Mytilus edulis: one gene and its partner. The main gene of each other region encodes a partner of the protein of the gene in region 2 in a complex. Links are inferred from orthologs where the notes say so. Each region holds a gene or a part of one and is shown on either strand. Other genes may lie near its edges.

Region 1 (9,380 bases), on a different chromosome or scaffold from region 2:
TAGTAAAAATTTACAAATTTTATGAAAATTGTTAAAAATTGACTATAAAGGACAATCACTCCTTAGGGGGTCAATTGACCATTTTGGTCTTGTTGACTTATTTTTAGTCTTACTTTGCTGTACATTATTGTTGTTTACAGTTTTTCTCTATCTATAATAATATTCAAGATAATAACAAACTAGAGGCTCTAAAGAGCCTGTGTCGCTCACCTTGGTCTATGTGCATATATACAATACCCTTCCCTTTCATGAATATGACCTACCGAATTAGACTATTTACCGGATTTGTAATCACATAAGCAACACGACGGGTGACACATGTGGAGCAGGATCTGCTTACCCTTCCGGAGCACCTGAGATCACCCCTAGTTTTTGGTGGGGTTCGTGTTGTTTATTCTTTAGTTTTCTATGTTGTGTCGTGTGTACTATTGTTTTTCTGTTTGTCTTTTTCATTTTTAGCCATGGCGTTGTCAGTTTGTTTTAGATTTATGAGTTTGACTGTCCCTTTGGTATCTTTCGTCCCTCTTTTAAACAAAGGACACAAATAGATTCATGACAAAATTGTATTTTGGTTATGGTGATGTGTTTGAAGTTCTTACTTTACTGAACGTTCTTGCTTCTTACAATTATATCTATAATGAACTTTGCCCATTAGTAACAGAGAAAATTATTTGGTAAAAATTTACATAAATTTACCAAATTAATGAAAATTGTTAAAAATTGACTATAAAGGGCAATAACTCCTTAAGGGGTCAATTGACCATTTAGGTCATGCTGACTTATTTGTAGATCTTACTTTGCTGAACATTATTGCTGTTTACAGTTTATCTCCATCTATATTAGTATTAAAGATAATAACCAAAAACGGCAAAATTTCTTTAAAAATTACCAATTGGGGTCAGCATCCCAACAACCGGTTGTCCAATTCATCTAAAAATTTCAGGGCAGATAGATATTGACTTGATTAACAATTTAACTTCTTGTCAGATTTGCTCTAAATGCTTTGGTTTCAGAGTTATAAGCCAAAATCTACATTTTACCCCTGTTTTAACATTTTACCCCTGTTTTATTTTTAGCCGTGGCAGCCATCTTAGTTGGATGGCCAGGTCATCGGACACATTTTTCAAACTAGATACCCCAAAGATGATGTTGGCCAAGTTTGGATTAATTTGGCCCAGTAGTTTCAGAGGAGAATATTTTTGTAAAAGATTACTTAAGATTTACGAAAAATGGTTAAAAATTGACTATAAAGGGCAATAACTCCTAAAGGGGTCAACTGACCATTTCGGTCATGTTGACTTATTTGTAAATCTAACTTTGCTGAACATTATTGCTGTGTACAGTTTATCTATATCTATAATAATATTCAAGATAATAACCAAAAACAGCAAAATTTCCTCAAAATTACCAATTCAGGGGCAGCAACCCAACAACAGGTTGACCGATTCATCTGAAAATTTCAGGGCAGATAGATCTTGACCTGATAAACATTTTTATCACGGTCAGATTTCCTTTAAATGCTTTGGTTTTTGAGTTATAAGCCAAAAACTGCATTTTACCCCTATGCACTATTTTTAGCTGTGGCGGCCATCTTGGTTGGTTCAACTTGGTTGGCCGGGTCACGCCACACATTTTTCAATCTAGATACCCCAATGATGATTGTGGCCAGGTTTGGTTTAATTTGGCCCAGTAGTTTCAGAGGAAAAGATTTTTGTAAAAGTTAACGAAGATGGACGACGCCGGACGCAAAGTGATGAGAAAAGCTCACTTGGCCCTTCGGACCAGGTGAGCTAAAAAAGGCTTTTTATAGTTGTCAATTTAAAAGGAAAATCTGTTGTGAAAATGATAGCTGTGCTCAAGTGCACTTTTTATATAAATGTGCAACTATGTCATCAGTTTCTATCTAGAACACTGTTCAGCCTCTTTGTTTTGGACAAATATTAATAAATTTCATCTGCTTTTATAAATTCTTAAAAATTAGATTTTGATGGAAAATATCATGAATAAAAAGTTCTGTTCTTTTAATTCATGTACATTGACTTTCATACAATGCTGCAAAAAATATCTGGAATAAGTATAGGAGCTACTCTTTATTAATCATCCCATTAGTCAACAAAAAATCATATAATTTTCTTGTTTTGTTAACATCAATTTTGATCAAACTTCTAGCCTGTCCAAGTTTTAAACATCCATTTTTCTTACACTCATTAATCAGGGAATCACGAAATTCTATATAAGCCTCTGGAACCAATCTAATATTAGCGCAAATCTCTTGTTCTGTTTCTCCTAGTTTTTCATAACCTGGCAAACTAGAAATGTCTAATGGAGGTGCTGTTTTCCGAGGAGCATTTGGTAACACAACTAAGCCTCCTTTTGACATATTGTCTAGCACAGCCTGCCTTTGAAGCCATGTTTGACAAGAAGTTTCATCTTTTAAATGTGATAATAGGTCTACCATAAGATGTCTTTTAGATTTCACTACATTTCTCCTTGAGTTAAGGATGTGATACATTTTACTCTGCTGCATAGAGGTCATGCCATTTTCTCTTCTGCTCTGAAGTTTCTTGATATCATGTTTTAATTCTCTCTCATAATGTATGGCCTCAATATATTTACAATATTCATCAGGTGACACCAATGTTATGAATACTCTCAACTTGTCAATAAGGTCCTTGATGGTGTAACTGTATCTACGGCTGGCCACTTGTACTTTTGGTATGTTGATCAGACCATAATCTCTGACAATTTTCTTCCTTTTCCATCTCTCTTTCATGCAATCGTAATACACATCCAGAACTCCCAACTGCATTTTACTATCTTCATCCTCCTCATCAAAATCTAAATGTTTGATTTCCAGTTCCATGAAGTTGTCATATTCTATTGTGAAATCACCCCTTCCAGCCATATACCCACTGAGGTCGTTGTTTTCTGGGTAGCGTGGAGGGTCGTCACACAATTTATATAGGATTGGCTGAGGATAAACAGTCCTCTCTGCCTCTTTAAAGTGAGGCAAGTCCTCATGAGGTTTATCAATGAAATATTTATTGTAATGATTCTGACATTCTGACTGACTTTTTGTCCGTAGCCTGTGAGCTACATCTGACCAGTTGCCATAGCCACAGTCTGACATGATGTCAAGTAACGTTGTTTCTTCCTCTGCCGTCCATATCTGTTCAAACAGCGGAAAATCTGTTCTACAAACAGTGTAGGGATGATCGTTTTGATGAACACCAAATATAACTCCTTTAGAGAAGCAATGAACACAGATAGTCATGGAGTGACATACTTCAGCTTTACATACAATGTATGGCTTTCTTAGTTCACATTTACAATTCATACAATAGTGTTCCTCCTCCATTTCAATGTTTGTTCAATAGTTCAGTATAATATCAAATTTTTAAAATTTTCCTTAATTCATTGTGAAAAATGTCTAAGAATTACTATGAGATGACTTTAGCCTAATTTTGGTCCTCCATCATGATAGTTGCCTGTTATTGAAGCACCACTGAAGTCAAAACCAGGATTCTGTAAAATAATAAAACAATATTGTGCTATTAGTGTTCAACTTACTTAATTTTCTAATAAGGTCAACTTACAGTGTTGTCTTCTTTTCATCAGTTTTTGGAAATTGGAAATAATAACTCTCAGGAATTTTTCTAAACAATCTAAAATTGAACTAGATACCTTATTAAAGACTCAGATGTAAAATTTAAGACCACAGTGCAAAAATTTCTTAAAGGCATGCTTTTCTTACTAAAAATACATGGTCTGTTTGATTAAAGCTTTTCAGCTGTTTTCTGATTTTTTAGTCAAAATCATGATTTAAGGATAATAGCTGGAGCTAGCTCCTATACGTTGTTTCCAATGTAGGTATCAATAGTAGAGCTATAATAGTATTATTAAAAGGGGTACACAGTTATTTTCTATAATGATTTAATGCAAAATTAACATTCAGATTCTTTTGTTTTGATAAAAAGAGAATTGAATTTTTTACTTTAAAATATCAAATATTGACAGAATAAAACTAGAGGCTCTAAAGAGCCTGTGTCGCTCACCTTGGTCTATGTGAATATTAAACAAAGGAAGCAGATGGATTCATGACAAAATTGTGTTTTGGTGATGGTGATGTGTACATCTTACTTTACTAAAGTCTTGCTGCTTACAATTATCTCTATCTATAATGAACTTGGCCCAGTAGTTTCAGTGGAAAATGTTAATAAAAATTTACAAATTTTATGAAAATTGATAAAAATTGACTATAAAAGACAATAACTCCTTAGGGGGTCAATTGACCATTTCGGTCATTTTGATTTATTTGTAAATCTTACTTTGCTGAACATTATTGCTGTTTACAGTTTATCTCTATCTATAAAAATATTCAAGATAATAACCAAAACTAAAGGCTCTAGAGCCTGTGTCGCTCACCTTGGTCTATGTGAATATTAAACAAAGGACACAGATGAATTCAAGACAAAATTGTGGTTTGGTGATGGTGATGTGTTTGTAGGTCTTACTTTACTGAACATACTTGCTGCTTACAATTATCTCTATCTATAATGAACTTGGCCCAGTAGTTACAGTTGAAAATATTAGTAAAATTTTACAAATTTTGTGAAAATTGTTAAAAAATTACTATATAAAGGGCAATAACTCCTTAGGAGATCAATTGACCATTTTGGTCATGTTGACTTCTTTTTAAGGTCTTACTTAACTGTACATTATTGCTGTTTACAGTTTATCTCTATCTATAATAATATTCAAGATAATATCCAAAAACTGCAAAATGTCCTTAAAATTACCAATTCAGGGGCAGCAACCCAACAAAGGGTTGTCCGATTGGTCTGTAAATTTCAGGGCAGATAGATCTTGACCTGATTATAACAATTTTACACCATGTCAGATTTGCTCTAAATGCTTTGGTTTTTGAGTTATAACCCAAAAACTGCATTTTACCCCTATGTTCTATTTTTAGCCGTGGCGGCCATCTTGGTTGGAAGGCCAAGTCACCGGACACATTTTTTAAACTAGATACCCCAAAGATGATTGTGGCCAAGTTTGGATTACTTTGGCCCTGTAGTTTCAGAGGAGAAGATTTTTGTAAAAGATTACTTAGATTTACGAAAAATGGTTAAAAATTGACTATAAAGGGCAATAACTCCTAAAGGGGTCAACTGACCATTTCGGTCATGTTGACTTATTTGTAAATCTAACTTTGCTGAACATTATTGCTGTTTACAGTTTATCTCTATCTATAATAATGTTCAAGATAATAACCAAAAACAGCAAAATTTCCTTAAAATTACCAATTCAGGGGCAGCAACCTAACAACAGGTTGTCCGATTCATCTGAAAATGTCAAGGCAGATAGATCTTGTCCTGATAACAATTTTACCCCTGTCAGATTTGCTCTAAATGCTTTGGTTTTTGAGTTATAAGCCAAAAACTGCATTTTACCCCTATGTTCTATTTTTAGACGTGGCGGCCATCTTTGTTAGTTGGCCGGGTCACCGGATACACCGGATACGCAAAGTGATGGGAAAAGCTCACATGGCCCTTCGGGCCAGGTGAGCTAAAAATGCTTAAAATTTTGGTTTTGAAAAATTTATCATGTTTATTAGAAACTTTCATATGATTATTATTATGTTTTTATCAAATTTAATTAAATACTGACAAAATAGACCAAACCTTACCCTACTTTTGTCTTTAATGAAGAAAATCGCCAAATTCTCCCTGAAATGGAGATATAATCTTGTTTATAAAGTAATTAAAAATATATATTTATTAGCTAAAAATAAGTTCAATGAAGTAAAGACTGCCATTCAGTTCTCAAAATCCAAACATATTTTTTTTATGTTTTATACTGTTACACATACATCATGTTACTTTAAAATTCTATTTCTATATCAACATTTGTATTGATTGATTGTTCTTTTCTTATTGTCCAGTTACACATATTTCATGTTTATATGCCATTATTATTAAATTACATTATTCTCATTAAACACATTTCATTGGAGAGCAGACAACAGTATTAGTAACTTAACTTTACTAGTTCCTTTTTTGATTATATAATTTAGAATATGTTGGCATGAAGAGAATAAATATAAAGACTCTACTTGGAATTCAGTGAAAGTTATCAGTTTTATCAATTTAAGAATAAGTCTTCTACAATATGTACTTAATTCTATTTTAAAAGTCAATGTTTCCTTATTTTCAATCCATCCTGTTTTCATGGTCTTTAACACTGAATTTATATCTATTTTTTTGGCATTAAAATATTACCAATCATTAAATAATTATTGTCATTCATTATTTTGTGTAAAATTTCACAATTTAGATCCAATTATTTTTTAATCTAGTCCTAATGTAAATTCATAATTATTGTGATGATTTTATTAATTGTGAAAAATGCTGCAGTATCAGATTTACATTACAGAAAACTTGCATTCGTAATTCCAGTAGTGATCTAGATCTCCCTTATAAATTTTTAGCAATCACATTTACATTTAACATGTTTGCCAGCAGTCAAATTTTAGCAATAATATATATATGCAACATTAGTTTCTGAATTAACAGTATATACAATTGTATTAAATATAAACTCATCATAAATAACAGGACTAAATTTTGCATATACGCCAGATGCGCGTTTCGTCTACAAAAGACTCATCAGTGACGCTCGAATCCAAAAAAGTTAAAAAGGCCAAATAAAGTACGAAGTTGAGGATTGAGTAATATATATGTAACTATATGAGGGTTGGAAGCCTCGGTGGACGAGTGGTCTAAGTAGTTACTACTGTAATCACTAGCCAGTCAACACTGAGGTTGTGAGTTCGAACCCTGCTCATGTGGGTGCACTCGATTTCAATCTTAATTGACTAGGATTGTCAGTTTTCCTTTCAAAGGTCTGTGGTTTTCTTCTGGCACTCGGGCTTCCTCCACCAAATTAAAAACTGGGTGCCATGAAATAGCCTAAATCCAGAGCTTAAAAGTGGCGTTTAAACACCAAAAATCAATATGAGGGTCTGGATGGGGTTTACAAAACAGGGAATAATTGGCAAAATGTCCAGAATACAGGGCAAATAGAAGAAAAGAGAAAAATAGGCCAAAAAAATAAAAATAAAGAATAATGGGGTTTAAATATAAAGAATTGAGAATACTAGGGTTTTAAAATATAAAGAATCAAGAATAATGTCATAATAGATAAAAGAACAAAATGGTATAAAATTAAATGAATAATGAAATGAAAGACCCCTGATTCAGACCCTAAAATATACCAAAACTAATATTCTAAATTAAATAGACACAGTAAATTCAGTATAGCTAATGAATGTCAGTTCAGAGGTAAATCAAATTACTGATAAAGAATTTTGAAATTTATAATACATAAAATTTAGAATGGAAACGGGGAATGTGTCAAAGCGACAACAACCTGACCATAGAGCAGACAACAGCTGAAAGCCACCTATGGGTCTTCAATGTAGCGAGAAACTCCCGCACCCAGAGGCGTCCTTCAGCTGGGCCCTAAACAAATATGTATGCTAGTTCAGTGATAATGGACGTCATACTAAACTCCGAATTATACACAAGAAACTAAAATTAAAAATGTATACATTTATCATGTTTATAGTCTAATTGAATATATCATGCATACATAACAGGATATTTTTTGCTGTCATTTTTAGAATTAAATTTGTAATAATCTGCTTTACCTCGTTCTGAAATTTTTCCAATGTTAATTTTTGTTCCATCTGATCAAAGGTAGAGGGATCTGCTTCATATTGTGATTTTAACAATGACTTCCAACAGTTGCCAGCAGTACTATGGACCTTTGGTAAACAGATTCTTATCAACTTCTTATCTTCTGTAAACATGTATGTACATAGTCAGTAAAATTTTTCAAGTCTTTCTATTCAATTCAGTAAACCAGAACAAAACCAATGCTGACAATTCAACGAAAGTTCTATGTCAATTTCGGTTTCACTGATCATGCCAATTTAATATTACATATATATAATATTATAAAAGATTAATATTAAATGAACAGTGATATAAGAATATCATGAATATGGCATGTATGTTTTCTTAATTCTCTTTTGAGTCAGCCAATTTTATATTATTGATCACACATTTTTTATCATATAAAAAAATAAGAAGATGTGGTATAACTGCCAATGAGACAACTCTCCACAGGAGAACAAATGAAATAGAAGTTATCAGCCATAGTTCACAGTACAGTCTTTACTCTTTAACAAAGAGCAAACCCATACCCCATAGTTAACTTAAAAGCCCCTAAATGACAAATGTAAAACAATTTAAACAAGAAAAAATAAAGGCCTGATTTATGTACAAAATAAAAATAAAAGTGATTGATACCTTATATATAGTGTTTCTGATACAAAATGATTTACAAAAGTCCTTTGTCAATACTCAAATTATTAAACAAACTTATACCTAATGTCCACACAGCTTCATCAGCATGCACAGCTTTATGCAAATCTCCCTGGAAATATAGAAAAGATAAATTGCATCAACTAAAAGTAAGGGACAACAGCAGTGAATATCTTGGCAAAAACTGGTGCAACTGATATAAATCAAAGTCTGTAATGATTGTTAAGACATGTAAGAGGCTTAAACCTTTGAGGAACATGTATGGCTGGCCTTGCATTTATGTACATTTGTATATAACTAAAATGTAGGACTGATTATGAGTACTAGTTTAAGTTATGTTAAGTTTGATTGTGGGAGCTAGAGGTTTAATTTAGATTCTTGTAATTATTCAAGTTTTGCTTAAATTCAGGTTTACATGTAAATCAGGCTGTTGCCAGTGTTGGTTTGCTTGTTTGAATTGTTTATGTCTATGATATAGTATCAGTTACACTCATTGATGAATGCCATACAGTGATCTATAGTTGCTTACATCCATCATATCCATAACATATCATTTTGATTAAGGTAGATAGTAGTCTCATTGGATATCATTCTATATCTCAATTTCATACTTTTGTCTAGCTATGGCTGTTTCTGATGGGAAATATAAAAAAGAAGTGGTTTAATTGCCAATGAGACAGCTCTTCTCAAGAGACCAAATGACAGATATATATTAACAACTATTAGTCTATCAGAGAATCACAAAAAAAACCTAACAATATACTATATAAACAAGGAATTTCTTAGAAACAGACAGTAAAACTTTTGCAAAGATTTACTTTTTATTGGAATTGAAGGGTGGCATACCTCTGCACTAAAAAAAGGTCATGGTGATCCCTGAAAATGGCAGGTTTTCCTAACTTGAGGATGTCATAAAGTGATGATGTCATGTTCCTACAACATATTTAATTAATAGAAAACTAAGTGTTTTCCTACAGTCAGGGTACTACT
Region 2 (10,790 bases):
AAACTACAAAGAATCATCAAGCTACTAATAATATACAAGTATTGCTCACTGTAATTATTTTTATCTCGAAACTGACACAACACAGACTGAATATTAAATACAAATAATAGAAATATTTTGCATGTGACCGCATCAAACTAAAACGTATGCAGCAGCACTTGAGACAGCATTCTGCTAATCAATGGATTTACGTGGAAAATAAATCAGTAAAATAAAAATAACTGTAAGCTTCAAGAAATAGAATACATGTAAAAATATATATGTTAACAAAATTTATGCAAACAAATAAGAAAAAGATACAAAAACAAAAAAAACAAACGAAAAGGAACATAAAATAAAAATATTTTTTAGGAACAAAGAAAATAAATAACAGTTGAAATATCAAAACCATAATTTAACAAAAATAGGCTATTTTTATTAAACAAAGTTTTCTCCAGTACTTCACCTGTAAAAATATTTTATGTCAAATACGATGTAGAACTAATATAATCAATAAAGTGACTGAGAGGTTAAAATTACAGGTAATCTGATTCTGAAATCAGTGAACCGTAATTCTAGCAACACGGATTAAGATGAAAGGACCATTCACACCTGGATCTGTTGATTAATGACCATACTACCTACCATAAAAATGTCGGATTATTCATATCCGACTAGACGGATTAAGACATCCATAAAAATAAGTCCCTACCCGTACTGTATCTTCCTTTTGAACGACACTTATTTTTTTTTTTTTGTCCAGCAGTCCTCCCAAAAATTTCCAACATTTTGTTTTGTTGTGAAGGACGCTCATCCAAGATACTAATTACCTTGATTAATTGCAATACTTAGAACCCCCAGTATGTGTAATTGATTTTGCAGGTAAATTTGTTTGCAAAAAAAAACCAAATATTTTGATGCAATCAGTGAGTTTTATCGACAAATTTCTACTGGTCCATTGGACCACCAGCTGACAAAATCTACTGGTTCGACACAAATTCTACTGGTCTCAGACCATCGGACCAGTGCCAATTTTCACCACTGATGAGAGTTTACAAAGTAATGAGCAACACTTAAATCTACAAAGTACAAACAAACTTTCAATATAAATTACATTCAATGGTTTAAGCTGATATTCCTAGATTATGTTTTCTAACAGTTCCAAGCAAAAACAGATTTCTTTGTTTGTTGAACATTATTTGATGGTATTAAATTAACAATGCTTCTCTGCAACGTCCAATATTGTCATAAGTTTAACCATTCTGTCTTAAATATCTAATTGTTAATTGTCTCAATAGCTCATGAACAATAATATCTACATTGTGTACATAAAAATATAAGAAAGGCCCTCAAAAATTACTTCAAACGTGCTATATTTCTTTTCAGCCCCCTGGACCCACTGGAGACCATAATCAGCCCCAGACCCCTCGCCAGAATGAATTTGCTTCCTATTCTGAAAATATTTCCTCTTAATCCTAACCTTAATGAATACACAGGTGAGCAAATAAGTTTGAGTTGCCTTTTTAAACTTTAATTTGTTTTATAACCTAGCATATCTCATACAGCTGTCATTCTTACTTGAATTTTTGCAAATAAAACACCTGGTTTTTACCTGATCGGTCTCATCTACTTCTTCTTCTTTGTTCTGTATCTCCATTGTAAACTGACTGTGAATAATATTCTCAATCTTCCGTCTTGTTGCTTCCTTAGCTGAAATAGATTAATTAATCAATATCAATTTGATACTAATTTAAAGTATTTATATCTGCTTCTGGAAAACATATTTATAGGTATTTTTATCTGCTTCTGAAAACTATATCTACTATTTCGATTTTTTCATAATTCTTAACAGAAAGACAATGCTATCTCTTGATCATCATTCTTCAAAACATCATCAGCAGTAAATATGTCAAGATTTTCATATTAATATCTTTTTAAGCTTTTCAGTCTGTTTCTTTCACATCATGATTTCTTTTAATGGATGCCAATTGATGGCAACATATGTGGTTACATTAGCCTTTGGTGTAGGTGTTCCTAAAATTTTGTAAATTGATAATTCCTGCATTAGTGTTGGTTTTTTTTAATGTAATATCTAGTGAAATGATACAAACCATCTTCTTCAAATACTCTTTGTCTCTTGGACTGCTGCTCTGTAACATCTTCATAATCTGGGTCAATGTCAATATGTCCACGTTTAACAGCCATGCTACAAGTCTGAAAATATAAATATCTAAATATGATATGAGATAACAGTTAAGAAAGAAACAAGAATGTGTCCATAGTACAGGGATGCCCCACTCGCACTATCATTTTCCATGTTCGGTGGACTCTGAAATTGGAATCAAAATTAATTTGGAATTAAAATTAGAAGGATCATATCATAGGGAACATGTGTACTAAGTTTCAAGTTGATGTGACTTGAACTTCATCAAAAACTACCTTGACCAAAAACTTTAACCTGAACTTCACACTATCATTTTCTATGTTCAGTGGACCGTGAAATTGGGGTCAAAACTTTAATTTAAAATTAGAAAGATCATATCATGGGGAACATGTGTACTACATTTTGTAACTTTCAAGTTGATTGGACTTCAACTTCATCAAAAACTACCTTGACCAAAAACTTTCACCTGAACCAGGACGAACAAACAGACGGACGAACTAACGAACAGACGGACAAAAGGAACCCACAGACCAGAAAACATAATGCCCATCTACTATTGTAGGTGGGGCATAAAAAACATAGTTGCAGTGTTTGGTTTATATGGTTAAATTTTAACTTTAATTGTTATGCTTTTTTTAACAGGCATTTTTTAATAAATGTAATAATAGTGCCCAAGTTATCTCTATAAAACTACTGACACAATATTCCCTTGATCAGGTTTGATCGCATATAAATACTCCTAATGGCCTGTATGTATAAACCATGAAAAATTTCAGGTGAAAATTATATACAATTATAATGAATTGATGACCAATGTTAAATCTACATTATTATAAAGTGTACATTGCACATGACATTGTATCTGAGATTTCTTAATTTTACAGCAATCTTATCTGTGAAAAATCATTACACAGCAAGTGATCGTATAGTCCGAGATTACTCTGATGTCTAAGGTTGTTTTGCCAGAAAGCTAGGGTCCCAAGGCCCCACCATTATATATGGCAAAAACAGCCCTTGGAAGTCACAGAGTAATCTTGGACTAGTGAATGTATACACCTTTATCCTTTTAATCTTTTATTTGTATTTTGATTTATTTTTAATTTAATTTATACAGAAATCGCCATGAATTGAAAGCATGTATAAAAGCCTCAACAGGCTTCTACACTACCAATACAGATGTCATCATGTCAAATAAATGACATATCTCATTTAAAAAGGCTCTGCAATTGTTAATACTTTATCTTCCTTTAAAGTCATAAGAAACCTCAAATTAAAAAAAAATCATGCATACATTGTACATGTATATGTTTTTTATAACTAAATGGATAGTTTTCATTATACAACTTATGTACATATACCTTTTTCTGAGGAAAATTCTTTAATTTGTCCACATTTAAAAGAAGTTTATTAGTTTTTAATTGCATGCTTCCAAGAAGCAATTCGCCAACATTTTTTCTGTATGCATAGTGACCTGAGCGTAACCCTCCTCGTAAAAATCCAGCGATCACAATACGCATGGATATGTCATTAAAATAAACAACTATCTGATTGTACATGTTTAACACGTGCTCAATACCCATGCTTTTTGTTATTTATTTACTATAAGGTGACAATTGGTAAACTTCGGCTTTAAAACACGGCATTTAATGAGCAGCCATATTTGTTAAATCATAACAGATAGAGAGAAAAAAAATTGACAATTATACGATATATTTGCGTAAAAAATGACAAAATCGTTCACAGAGTTCTAAGTTTATGATTATACATGCATTGGTTCAAGAATTGGATTAACATTATTTTTCACCACTCACTGGTTTCATATGACTTTAAAAGAAGTGGAAAAATATTCATTATAAAAATAAATAGGTTTTAATAGAGGGTATTTTAAGGTACAATTCGTACCCATTTATTTTAAATTGTGAGATTATTTATGCACAACTTGTTACATGGGGTGTTTACCAAATGCAAAAAAAATCGACCTGTCAAAACTGCAACAAGAAAGGATTTTTTTTATTTAATGTCAAAAAAAATATTTGGACGCAAATCTTCGTGTATCTTATAATTTAGTTAATATCAAGTAGTGTTTGTTCAGTCAGGCATGATAGCACTGTGTATACAGAGTTTGTTACGTAGATATCTGATTGTTTTGGTAGTAATTTCATTTTACGTTTCATGGAGGCCGCCATGTTGATCAATCAATGAAAGGTACAACAACTGTGATTGGTTGAAACAGATAGGTCATGATTACTCATGTGAAAAATTCCGCGAAACCAATGAAGAGAAAAAGAATAAAAGCACGTGTTACAGTTTAGATCAAAAATTTTTATCTGACAGAAATGTACGCCTCTTGCTTTAAAAAAAAAAACATATTCTACTACAAATAGAATTAATGAAGATATTAATATCTGTAATGAATATATATATAAAAAAAAATATAATAAAATATTTGATAAAGTTTTCAGTGGCGGATCCAGAAATTTTCATAAGTGGGGCTAGAAGTGGGGCCCACTGACTGCCTAAGAGGGGGCACGCTCCAGTCACGCTTCAGTGATTCCCTATATAAATAAATCATGTAAAATTGTAAGATATAAAAAAGTTAAACAAAAAATACTAAACAGAAAACCATGGGTTGACCATGAAATACGTGATCTTAAAAAAACTATTAAAGCAAAAGGAGCTAAACTGAGACGAGAACCATTTAATTTAGAGCTAAAATGTAAATTTTTTACCGTGACATGCTAAAAAACTTAAAAAATTAGTAAAGAGAAAGAAAATTATATTTAAAAAGAACTTATATGAAACATTAACAAATTTGCAAGAAAATGACCCAAAAAAATATTGGGAACTCCTTAAAAAATTAAAAAATGAAGACACTAAACAGGATGATTGTTTAAATATTGAATTAAATAACTATGAAGAACATTTTCAAAATCTTGGTAAAGCTGAAAAATATGATAACTCTTTTAAAGATAAAGTTAAAAAAGATTTAAATATGCTTGAGAGTACGTTAGAACATAATATTTGTACTGATAGTCCATTTTCAATATCAGAAGTTAAGAACTGTATAAAAGAATTAAAATCAGGGAAAAGCGCTGGACCTGACTTAATATCTAATGAAATTATAAAATATAGTAGCTTTGTTACAGTTTCAGCCATAGTTAAACTTTTTAATCTTATTTTATCATCTGGTATTTACCCCACCAGCTGGAGGAAAGCTTTTATTGTTTTAATCCATAAGTCTGGAGATAAAGAAGACATAATGTAACTATAGAGGCATTTCTATTTTAAACTGTCTAGCAAAATTATATAGCTCCATTTTGAATAAAAGACTAGTAAAGCATTATGAAAATAAGTTCTCCAGTCATCAATTTGGATTTCGTTCAAATCACAGAACATCTGATAGCATATTTATTTTAAAAACTCTTGTCACTAAATATTTGAAAAAAAATAAGAAAAAGCTGTTTGCTTGTTTTGTAGATTTACGTGGTGCTTTTGACTCTGTTTGGCATAATGGCCTGTTGTATAAATTGATAAATGATGGTGTTGGTGTGAAATTTTATACTACTTTGAAAAATATGTATAGTTTATCCCAGTCTGCACTGAAGATTGGCAATGAACACTCTTTGTTTTTTCAAATAATTAGAGGTGTAAGACAAGGGGACAGTTTAAGTCCTACTTTGTTTAATTGTTATATAAATGATTTACATTCAATTTTTGATGTAAATTGTAACCCTCCCGTTCTTGATACTTCAAGTATCCAAACTCTCAGCTATGCAGATGATTTAGTGTTACTGTCTGAGACACACCAGTGGCTTCAAAACGCATTAGATAAACTGAATAAATATTGCACTAAATGGCAGTTGAGTGTTAATACTAACAAGACTAAAATTCTAGTTTTTCAGAATATTTATAAACAATCCCCACCCCTCTTGTTCAATAATAAATTTTTGACTGAAGTTAAGGACTTTAAATTTCTAGGGAATATTATTAACTATAGGGGAAATTTTACAAAAACTACTGAAGAGCTGTCTAAAAAAGGCATTAAAGTTTTATTTTTATTGAGAAAATATATGTCCAATTTTAATTTTGTTCCCACTAATTTGTCATGTAAATTATTTGATACTCTTATAAGACCTATTTTGACATACAACTCTGAAATTTGGTTTATGGATAATTTTCAGTCAGCTTTTAGGGCATCTAATAGAGCTGCAGTAAATAATACATTTTGTGATACTCTTGCATTAGCAGAAAAATATCCCTTTGAAAAGGTTCATTCTAAATTTTGTAAAGCAGTATTAGGACTGAGAAAGACAGCCACTAACATAGGTGCCAGATCAGAATTAGGTAGATTTACTTTGGACTCCTATATAAAAACTCAAACACTCATGTATTTTTATAGAACAAATTGTAATGATATTAATCCACTGGTTAAAGAATCTCTACAAACAAACATAAATTTACATTCAGAAGGAATTTATTCTTGGTACTCATTTGCAGATAAAATTTTTAAAGAAATGAAAATAAACCCAGAAAATTACTCTAATAATAATGTACCTTTTAAACAATCAAAAAACATGTTAAAATGTAATATAAAAAAGTGTGTTTCAGAGGAACATGAAAAAAATACTTTAATTAAACTTTCAAAAAGGGATTCCTCATCCAAACTTTGTCTTTATGGGAAATTAAAAAATAATTGTCAGTCTGAGGAATATTTAAATTGCAATAATTTTATACATAGGCAGTTACTTTCTAAATTTAGACTAAGTGATCATTCCCTCGGCATTGAATTAGGAAGGTACAGAAACATTCCAAAAGCACAAAGATTATGTAAAAAATGTGAAGTCCTAGATGATGAATTTCATTTCTTTTTGTATTGTGACATTAACATATCTTTGCGTTCTAATCTTTTTGCTTATCTAAAAGACTATGTACCATTATTTCAACATCTTGATGCATTCAATAAACTTAAACACATTCTAAGCCCCATCCCTGAACTTGTTTGTCATATTGGAGTCTTCATTAAAGTCTTTAGAACTGAGGGAGTCAGACCCGTGTCAGGCAAGGTTATGATGGTGTTTTTTTTTTTTTTTTACATACATTTATAATTGAACTCTAATGTTCTATTATTCTATATATTGTATTGTATTATTTTGTATTTCATTGTATTACATTGTATTTCATTGTATTGCATTGTACAGTATAAAATTATTGTTTGATTGTATTGCTTGACCCTCATGGGTGTAATTTTGCAATAAAGATTATTATATAAGCAACCAATTTTTTCCCAAAAAAAAATTGATATTATTTACTAGAAGTCTCTAAAAACACTATATATATAATAATATATAATATATCATATATTTTTAAAAAATAAATATTAAAATTGATATTAGTACCTTTTCACTTTAATATTTCTTTTAAAAATATATATATTACACATACCAGAGACATCATGTGACAATACATTGTTGCAATGTATGATCATGCATGTATATTACACATACGAACCCATATAGAAAATGGACATTCTGATTAAAACTTTTAATGAAAATATCATCTATTAGTTTTGAAACAAAAAGTATTATACTATAATACACAACAATCTTAAACATGTTAAAACTGCTTTACGAGCGTTTCAAAAACAGTGTTTCTGTGCCTTGCTTTTTGGTAAATTTGTAGAAAGGTGCCACTGCAGACATGAAATGAACATAACACTTGACTGTTTCGTCTGCATCACTTTTGCAAAATTTTTTGCAAAAAAGATCATTTCAGTTTTCAACATTCATAGAATAAATGCTGTCATTATAGATTTCTATGCATCGTGTCGGTACAATCTCTTGTTATTAATCTTATAATATTTCATTGCACCATAGTAGATTATTATAGTTTCGCCGGTTTAAATTTAAAGTACTCCTAAACCGGCTGTAGCTTTCCATGATCAGTCGAAAAACAAGTTTGTTTGATGACAAAGGAGTAGGTCCGGTAAGGGCCGATTTTGGCCCCAAATTTCAGTTTCATCTAATGAGATATTTAGGACACTTTTTAAACACTTAAGTGTCTATTTCAATTGATTCGATTAGTTTATGTAAAAGATTTTGATTCAGTCATTAAAAACGCTCCGATTGAAGCTTAAATATGAAAAATCTATCAAATATGCCAAAAAACGTCACTTTTCAGATGGTTTTCGTCAAACTGAAAGTGGCCGCATCCGTGTTCATCCTCAACCTTTATATATATTATGTATTATCATCAAATACAACTTACATTTCAATATTATGAATGAACACGAATGCGGCCACTTTCATTTAAGACGGAAACCGTCTAAAATTTAACTAAAATGCTATAATTGTGAAGATTTCAGTAATTAAGCATGACTTTATGATGCTAGTACACGATATGTACATTGTATTGTCAAAAACAGCACATATTTATGTAGCAGAAGCTAGCATTCTACTTTCCAAAAAATAGCTAAAAGATAACATTTTCACAATTTTGCAAAACTGCTTAATTTTGGGGCCAAAAAGGGGTCTCACTGAACCTACTCCTTTGTTATTTTCCATTTTCGAACGTTCAATGTTTTACAGAAATTAACGTATGTACATGTAATTAAATAGGTGCAGTTCACCAAAATTGAACGATTAAGAAGGCAAGTCGATCAAAACGATAGGTTATTAACATCTATAACCACATATATCATTTGGACATAAATAGTGTCCTTATAAAATATATAACATATAGTCTTGGTTAAAAATCTGAATTAAGACCGGCAAAATAGCAAATTTAAACTCTATATTAATCGGTATTTTGCCGGAGCCGGGAAAATAGCGCAAGGGGGCTACTTTTGTCGGAGCCGGTAAAATAGCACCTAAGAGGCTATTTTGCCGAAGCCACTGCCTACAAGAATCATACAATAATTTGTTAAAAAACGCCGGATAAGGGAAGACATCAAAAGTTCAATGATGGATAAAAAACTTAATTCACAGATTTTGGTCATTCGATCATTTGTCTATTTGTTTGGGTATTTTAAGAAATTAGTTATATTTACATGATTCAGGCGCCCGTCAATTTTTGATACGGAATGACCGAACAAGTAACACAATGAAATTGCTTCGCAACGCTCGGAAGCATTTTTCGGGAAGCGCATGCTTCGCTATACTGACATAGCTCGTATATTGACAGTGGTCGTCAGTATCGGCATATTAATTGAGAACACAGAAGAACTTTAAAGGTACCACTTATGTCCAAAACGTTTCCAGGTTCTTGTTTAGTGCTTATGATCAATACACATTAGCACTAGCTTGTACTTGACGGGATTTCGGATAAAAACTCCAAACACAAGGGAGAAATACATATCAACGGACCATCTATTTTTAGGGAAACACATCGACCTGATCCATTATAACACTAATCAATATTCAACGACAATCTCATATGTTCTAAAACATCAGAAGCTCATCGAAGAGATGCAATATGACGCTTATCAATTGTTGACACCTTAGCATTTAAATACAAAGACTTGGTGTAAGATTGTCAGAACGTCAGTATCAGAAGAATGTCGAAAATGAATCTCAGATCTTAGCACTAACCTGTGCTTGGAGAGGGGATTGATAATTTACGTCTTAGAATAATGATGAAAATTTGATAACATCAGTGAAGCATAGAAAATTATTTTGAAATCTTTCTAGGTATTTGCTATGTGCTTATGATAATACAACATTAGCACTAGCCTGTGTAGTGCTTGGAGAGAGATCAAAGGTTTAACAACACAGCATCAAGACCCAAGTTAAACCTACCAATCCCTTTCGCAGTAATATATACTACCTTGTCAATCATTTAAGGTATCACAATACAAAGATCTTTTCACTCCCAATCAGACAACTTTAAACTGATGTAATTCATTTCATCCTTCTTTATATTTTATAAATGAGGTACCAAAACTGTGTCTCAGATTTCCAAAAACACCAATAGAACAAATTTTATACCCAATTGAATTTAGTGGTCTCTTATGAATTGATGTTGCAAACTTCATTGAATAGTTTTGAGAGAATGAAATGCAATAGGAAAAATCTGAGACACAGTTTTGGAGGTCAAACTGTGTTGTGCAAGAATCTATAAAATATTTTGGGATGCTATGAATAACAAAGAAGCTAAATTCATTCAAGTATGGACATCACAATATGGCAACTTATTACACAACAATTAATTATGTAATAATTATGTCATAATGAAATTATCACAATTTGAAAGATTAATCTTTCTTCTTTCTTTTTGGTACCTCATTTATAAAATTTAAAGAAAGATGAGTGGAATTACATCAGTTTAAAGGTGTCTGATTGGGGATGAAAAATCTTTGTATTGTGCTACCTTAAGCTGATATAATGGCCGTTAGTTTTTATTGATGGAGGAATTCAGAAATCAGTCATATAGCGTCTGTTAACTTGTACATAATGATCACTTCACCTGTCATGCAACTTAGGAACCAGCAGCAGTGGACTAAACACTCTAACAATTCACCTAATGCATGAATATGAAGCCTCCCGTTCTCGGTAATATTTAAGGTTTAGCTAGGGTTAAAATCTATAATATGAGATTGATGGCGCATAACAATCATTAACAAACCTATGGAGCACTGCACATGGAAAATCAT

Evidence for each region.
Region 1: YEATS domain-containing protein 2-like (region 2) and transcriptional adapter 2-alpha-like share a complex: the UniProt entries of both Homo sapiens proteins name them as parts of the ADA2A-containing complex. The link is inferred for Mytilus edulis from reciprocal best matches to the Homo sapiens genes YEATS2 and TADA2A.

Annotation. Positions count from the first base shown.
Region 1 is NC_092350.1:28,512,541-28,521,920, forward strand, and holds transcriptional adapter 2-alpha-like, read right to left. Parts: upstream 3,359-9,380; coding exon 2,084-3,358; 3' UTR 2,076-2,083; downstream 1-2,075. Other genes in the region: nudC domain-containing protein 2-like, read right to left, coding at 3,454-3,525, 7,712-7,863, 8,454-8,502. UniProt on the Homo sapiens protein: Component of the ATAC complex, a complex with histone acetyltransferase activity on histones H3 and H4. Required for the function of some acidic activation domains, which activate transcription from a distant site. Binds double-stranded DNA.
Region 2 is NC_092345.1:32,742,923-32,753,712, forward strand, and holds the start of YEATS domain-containing protein 2-like, read right to left. Parts: upstream 4,316-10,790; 5' UTR 3,724-4,315; coding exon 3,502-3,723; intron 2,194-3,501; coding exon 2,091-2,193; intron 1,690-2,090; coding exon 1,592-1,689; intron 1-1,591. UniProt on the Homo sapiens protein: Chromatin reader component of the ATAC complex, a complex with histone acetyltransferase activity on histones H3 and H4. YEATS2 specifically recognizes and binds histone H3 crotonylated at 'Lys-27' (H3K27cr).